Xenopus tropicalis: one gene and its partner. The protein of the gene in region 2 purifies or fractionates together with the protein of the main gene of each other region. This does not show direct contact. Links are inferred from orthologs where the notes say so. Each region holds a gene or a part of one and is shown on either strand. Other genes may lie near its edges.

Region 1 (3,569 bases), on a different chromosome or scaffold from region 2:
TAGAAAATAGCAGAACGGGAAGCTATACTGGTATGGTAACTTATATACATAATGCTTGGACCTGGGGTTTTCTGGATAAGGAATCTTTTAAACATTAATTTGCCTCCAATAAGAATTAATTATTTCTTAGATGGGATAAAGTACAAAGCGCTGTTTTATTATTACAGACCAAAATCATTTTTAAAAACTAGATTTTTTTTCTTCAAAATTTTTATCAAAATAGATAAATAGTTGTCCTTTTAAAGAAAATTATATAGTTGCAGAATTCAGTCATTTAAATATCCTCCAAAAAAATCTCTATGTATGCAATTTCCTACAGTGATTCTACAAATAGTGTGTAATAACTAATGGTCTTTGAGGAAAAAAATGTGTTATATACAGTCAGTGGCATAACAATCAAGGGTGCGGACCCTGCTGCTTGCTTCCTCCATTGCTGCATATAAATCTCCACTTCCCACCAACTCTCCGTTATGCCATTGTATACAGTAAATATTTCCAATCCTTATCTTATCTGTCTGTCCTTAATTCTGTCCTTAAATCTTAGCGTTACATAGCGAACAATATTGACATCCTTGATTTTCCTCTGAGTGTAAGTTTTTCATGTTAGTGTTTGTTTAGCTGATTTGTAGTGCCCACTCTGTACACGTGCTGTAGTGTATCTTGGTTTTTGTGTTATGATTGCAATTTGCATGATACAGCAATTCTCAATGCAAGAATTTCTCAAACGGTACACTTTTTTGGAATAACGTCATAGGGAATTGTCAATACTTGTTAAAGAGGACTGGTGTTGAGAACCACAGTGCACTGTGCATAATATTTTATTATGACTTTCTATTTAGTCCCTCACCTATTCATATTCCAGTCCCTCATTCAAACCACTTCCTTATAGGCTCTTATTTATCCTAGCAACTAGATAGCGATTGACATATCAAACTCATGAGCTACTGAACAAAAAACTGAAAAACCACAACAAAATAAAAAATGTAAACCATTTCAAAATTGTCAAAATTAGTAACTGCATCATACTGTAAGTTAATTTTAAAGGTGAACTACTCCTTTAATTGCATTTACTTTATAGATAGAATAACCACCTGTTTGTATTCAGCAGCGTTGTACATAAAGGTACATAATAACTGACATATAAACAAACCAATACAGTAGGCAGTCCTATTCTGAAAAAAGAACAGGGAAGATTAAATAATCTACATAATTCTGATCATTTGAAAGAAAGAGGCTACTTCTGGCCAATGCCATTTAGGTGACATCTTTATTTATTTTCAAATATTAATTTCCAAAATTGTTTAGAAACATTGTGGAGTTAAAGTTACAGTGTAACAGTTGCAGTAAAATTGTAAGTGGCAAAATAGAGCATTTTGGCTTTCTTTTTTGTTGCTTTTTTTTTCTTAAGCAACAATTTAATGTGCATGAACTCCACTTTATATTAAAAGATGTAATTTATTTCTTGAATAATAATGTTTCCTTATTTTGTCTAATAGGAAATGGCTAACATATTAGCCCAAAAGCAGCTCAGGTCTATCATCCTAACGGTATGTATTAATATTGTATCTTTAGTTATATAAAAATTAAATGGTAAATAAATGGGACCTGTTTTTATTTTGTATACAAGACTTAAATGACCTTAAATGTCAAAAAGTAAAAAGTATTTTTAATTAAATTTTGTAGCTGTTGATCGAGCCTACAATTAACCTTTTTAGCAGCAAATCCCCTATTCCATTCTCTAGTCCTGTAGAAAGCCATAAATTACTTTTGACCCCTGTTTATTTTTCTTGCAAGAACTAAACCTATTGTATTCTACATAGTTCATCTCAGATGGTATGTAAACATGCACCTTTTTATCCATTTTCAAGTTTAATGGCTGTCCCCATGGCTACACAGCCGCTTAAAGGAAAAGTAACACTAACATTTTTTAAGTAAAAAATCTATTCTACCCTGCCCCAATAATTGCCCTATCCTGCCACCATTTATTGTTTTGAATGCTTTATTAGAAAATACCTGCTAAAACTTGGCTTCCGGTCATTTGAAATAAGGTGATACGGCAATGCAGGGCAAAATCCACTATGAGACGATCGATTGATCAATCCTAGCCTTCCTTCTGTATAGGAAGGAGTCAGGCTATGCTCTGTGTACGCACATTTGGGCTGTTGCCATAGCTTTTAGTGAAGGCACACAGAGTGGCGTACAGAAGCGAATCGGCTTCTCTCAGCCAGGCAGAAAAGCACAGGGCTGAGAGAAGCGGAGATACTCTTCGTCTGACCTTGTCCTTATTTTACCAGAAGTGGCTTTTTGCGTCCCCTGGTAACTTGTCTCAACTCACTTCCTGGCAGCAGCACCTCTATGTCCAGCCAATAGAGGCCAAAAAATGTAAAAGCTCAAATGACCAGGGCCAGGTTTTCTGATCTATCAGTTTTTTGTTTTATAAAAGAGTGTCTTTCTCTTGCAGCATGTTATCAGAGCACATGGTCCCATTAATAATGAGATGGCACATCAGCTGTACGTGTGGCAAGTACTGACTTTCAACTTGCTGGAAGACCGTATGATGACCAAGATGGATCCCCAAGATCAGGTGAGCCATATAGATTATATGCTTCTGTTAACACTACTAAACAAATAATCTTTGTGTAAAATTCCCCATAGTTTTTTAATATTTGTAAATAAATGTTACAGGGCAGATTTATCAAAATTCCAATTTATGTAATTTTAAAGCCTATTTTCTACAACGACTAAGCTCACTTTTTAAAATAGCACAACTGTCTACTCATTTATTTAAAAATCCAAATATTAAAATATAAAAACAGTAAAAAAGCATCCAAATTTTTGTGCGCTTACAAACAGAAAGAACCACTAAAACCACAAATTGGATAAGCATTGTTACAGTTTGCCTAGGACAGCTCCTATTGATTTATTTATGACTCAACAGCTTTTAGATGGCGTAATTTTGTATTAGTTTGTTTTGTTGTATTGACGCTTGAAAAATTATGAAACATTTGTTTTGAAGTAATTAGTACATGCACAATCTTTGGTACTAAAAAGTACGATTTGGGAAAAGAAAAAATACAAAGAAAGCAAAAATGCACTTTTGAAGGTGCAAGGTGATGTTGAATTGTTGACAGTGCAATTGGTTTATTTACTGGTACTATTTGTGGAGCAATCAAATGTGATCAATCCATAATAGTAAAAGGTGTATATTACCTTAATAATAAGTTTGTTTTGAATAAGAACAATTAGGGGCAGATTTATCAAAATGTGAGTTGATAGCTTAATTAATAAAACCTTACCCATTTTCTATTTATTCCTGTGGGATTTTTAGAAGCCTGGCAATGTTTCAGGCCTATACAGGGCCCTTTGCCAACTGATGTTAAATGTTTATTAAATTAATCAAACTGCACAGTCCCTTGTATCACAGTTCATCAAAGTTGGAATGTCTAGCTGGATTCACAAATCAAATATAAACCTGCACTTATGTAGAAATGCATGTAGGGAAATCACTCGGGAGGAAATTCAAAAGAGACTTGAACATGTAAAGGTAAACAAAGGTCCAGGACCGGATG
Region 2 (3,569 bases):
GAGATGTACTGAGCATTCCCTTAATTCCATTTGATTTTTTTTTTCTTTAATTAAGTAAATGGAGAAATGCTGTTATGATCGCACAAACTGTATATTTTCAACTTTCAAAGTACCATCTGCACCTCAGTTTTCTGCAGTAAAACACCATGGGTTGAATGGGTGTTAGTTTCTCCACCTCAACTTGCTACTGCAACTAAGTCTGTAGTGTCTGACTCCCGTGACTTTGTCTGATACCATCTCTTTCCCTTTCCCATAAAACAGTCAAATAATTCAGAATACTAGTGGAGTGTCAACCTGAAAATGAATATGAAAGTAAAAAAATAATCCCTATTTTCTTCACTTTAGTCTTCAAACCCTGACGAGAGGCGGGGGAATCGGCCAAGATCTATGGTCCGTTCATTTACCATGCCGTCGTCATCGAGACCTTTGTCTGTTGCCTCCGTGTCTTCAGTGTCTTCAGACAGTACCCCATCAAGACCTGGCTCAGATGGGTAAGTTGTTTTACATCCATTTGTATTTATGAGAACATTTGTAAACCTGCAGTTTGTGACAAACTGGTGGTAACATTTGGTGAAGTCTATATGGAGAAATATTGCATACAATTCTGTGTATGCATTGCTGTCCCGTTGTGTGCATTTAGGAGCTTTGGCAAGGTGGCAAGCTTTGCACCATAAAACAGCAATAAATCACAGTAAGTATGTTTTCTGGCATTGTGTCCCCCCCTCTTTCCCTGCAAAAGTTTGTGCCCTACACATTTGTGCCCCTTTCAAAATAATAAATTTCATTTTTGGAATCTTTTCCCCTCCTCGCAGAAATAAACTTTTAATTTCCACTTTGAGTAGAAAAGCAAATTGCAATGCATCTGTGTGCTTTTAAGGCTTATTGGTTACTCACAATACTTCAGCAGCTCACAAATTACAGCCCACGTCTTCAGCATGTCACTGTTGCCTTTCTCCTGATCTCCAGGCCGGTTTGTGTCTGCCTTTATTAAGTTACTCGATACACTCACGGAAAGCGTTCCTAAAAAAATTGCATTTCAGCTGCTCTCAAAAGAAAAAGGAGCCTAAAGACTGCAAGGGAACACAAACGTTGCCATTTCTAAAACAATATGTGCCCTGGGGACACCTCTGGGTGCTTTAAGAAGCTCAAAATATTTAGCCCAGCTGCTTGTCACAGTTCTGCGGGCAAAATGCATATGAAGCCTGTTCTGATCCAGCCATGATAAAGTTGTTGATTAAGGTTAAAAAGCGGATGTTGTATCACATTTACACTGTTTAGTCTGGCTGCTGCTATTTGCATGTTTGGCATGTCTCCCGGTGCGAGTCAGTTTGGATGAAATCAGCAGACAGGGTTTTACGGATCAACAGTGGCACAGAACCAACTGGCAGTGGCACGGCTGCGGATTTGTGTTTGCCTCTGCTACACTGAGCCCTTGGATACAGGATAGAAACCAAAAAACCTTGTTCATTTAAAGATGAAGCCATTCTCCTAATGTGATAGGATGGTTGGTCATGTACATAGACATTCTTTAGCTTAACGAAGTTCAATTGATGGGCAACAATTAAACATAATATGTCAGTTGTGTCATTGTAGGAACTCAGTGTTTGTGTTCAGAGCACAGTTCATGCATTGGGTTAACTGTAAAGATTACATGTGTGTGTATGGAATAGAGCCCTGTTTAAATATGCAGCAAATAATGTACTCTTTGTTGTAAATTATAAGGATATTAGTCACCAGAAACTTCTGTAAACTTTAGGGCTTTATTAGATGGAACTTCAAGGTGACTTCTTCTATATCTCATATTTTACAAAAGGGTGTACATTATCTTTATAATATACAACTTTAAATGAATCATGTGACACAAGTGACATCACTAAACGTGATCATACCTGATGATATTACTAAGAACTGTCTATAGGCAAATGGCATGCATGATATTTGTGGCTCTTGTATATTATAGAGAAATTATATACCCTTGTTTTATAGGATAAGGATTTTATAGGTCACTGAGGAATGTCATGACTATATAAAGGCAGAAGGTGAAGGGCAAGTTCTTTTATACAGGGCGTTATAAATTATAAGGATATCAGATGTCACAAAAAAGTTCTGTGATTTCCTGTATTTTTAATTTATAGGTCACAACTCCAAGGTGACTTCTAATATTCAAACAGGGGTATTTATTATAATACACAATTTTCAGTGAGTCATGTGATTTAAGTATATCAATAATAACTGATGTCATCACTATGTACCGTTTATAAATATATAATATAAGGATATTAGTGGTGACTTAGCGCTCCAAGGTCAATTCTACCATTGTTACATTTTTAAGTAGGGGTTATAGTAAGTCATTAGTTAAAGCACCATTTATAAGTATATATTTTACAGGCAGAGATAAAAAGAACAAAATGGTAACAGATTCCCCCATCTGTTCCAGTAGCGCAGCAGCCAACCAGTTCAATCCGCAGACAGAATATTTCACGTGTCAGTACTGAATGGATGTGCACAGTTATATTACATTTCTTCCAGGTTTGTTCTGGAACCACTTTTGCCAAAGAAAATGCATTCTCGCTCCCAAGATAAATTGGACCGAGATGATCTTGATAAGGAGAAGAAGGAGAAAAAGAAGGAGAAAAGGAACAGCAAGCACCAAGAGATGTTTGATAAAGAATTTAAAGCTACTGAAATTCCACTGCAGCAGTCTGACGCCGTTATTCTGTCAGAAACGGTAATTCTATCTCGGGCCGTGTGGGTGTGCATAGACGCCGCTGAATGTTTCTGTATATCATTTCATTGGTGGGATGCTTTCCTGCAATGCAAATGAATGGAAATCTATGTGCGAGCACTGTTTCACTGTCTGTGCTTTCACCTCGGCCGTGAAGCGTCTCTAACCAAGGATTCGGCTTTCCAGTAAATTCTGATATTCTGATATTAACCTCAGTTAGTAAGGCTTGACCTCTGACAAGATGTATAGATTTTTTTTTCTCCATTATGCAGAGGGGGGATGTGTTAGCTGATCTCTCCTAGAAAGTGAGTTCGAGGGACATATGTATCAAAGGGTGAAAAAAGAGTTAACCCCAGGGGTCGCAGTTTTCAATTAACTCGTAAAGGATTTTTTATCAAGAGTAGACATAATTACACCTTTTAAAATTCCTATAGAATGCCCAGTACAGTGAATATGACTGAGAATATGGCTGAGAAGCATCCATAACTGACCATGCTGCTACTCGTAGATGTGTTTTTTGTCCCAGAAAGTGCAAAAAGTAGAGTTCATGTCAGGCTGTTTCTATTAAAGGAACAGTAACACCAAAAAATTAAAGTGTATAAAATTAATTACGATATTATGTACTGTTGCCCTGCACTGGTACAGCTGGTGTGTTTGCCTTAGAAAGACTACTATAGTTTATATAAACAAAGCTGCTGTGTAGCTATGGGGGCAGCCATTCAAAGGAGAAAAGGCACAGGCACATAGCAGATAACAGATAAAACACTATTGTATTCTACAGAGCTTATCTGTTATCTGCTATGTAACCTGTGCCTTTTCTCCTTTTTTCCAGCTTGAATGGCTG

Evidence for each region.
Region 1: the proteins of dock1 (region 2) and elmo1 purify together in Homo sapiens (affinity purification with western blotting; 12 studies listed by BioGRID and IntAct, counting the BioPlex papers as one, with this or other methods). This does not show direct contact. The link is inferred for Xenopus tropicalis from reciprocal best matches to the Homo sapiens genes DOCK1 and ELMO1.

Annotation. Positions count from the first base shown.
Region 1 is NC_030682.2:63,753,107-63,756,675, forward strand, and holds part of elmo1 (engulfment and cell motility protein 1), read left to right. Parts: intron 1-544; coding exon 545-589; intron 590-1,496; coding exon 1,497-1,547; intron 1,548-2,461; coding exon 2,462-2,584; intron 2,585-3,569. UniProt on the Homo sapiens protein: Involved in cytoskeletal rearrangements required for phagocytosis of apoptotic cells and cell motility. Acts in association with DOCK1 and CRK. Was initially proposed to be required in complex with DOCK1 to activate Rac Rho small GTPases.
Region 2 is NC_030683.2:24,117,994-24,121,562, reverse strand, and holds part of dock1 (dedicator of cytokinesis protein 1), read left to right. Parts: intron 1-345; coding exon 346-491; intron 492-2,529; coding exon 2,530-2,728; intron 2,729-3,569. UniProt on the Homo sapiens protein: Involved in cytoskeletal rearrangements required for phagocytosis of apoptotic cells and cell motility. Along with DOCK1, mediates CRK/CRKL regulation of epithelial and endothelial cell spreading and migration on type IV collagen.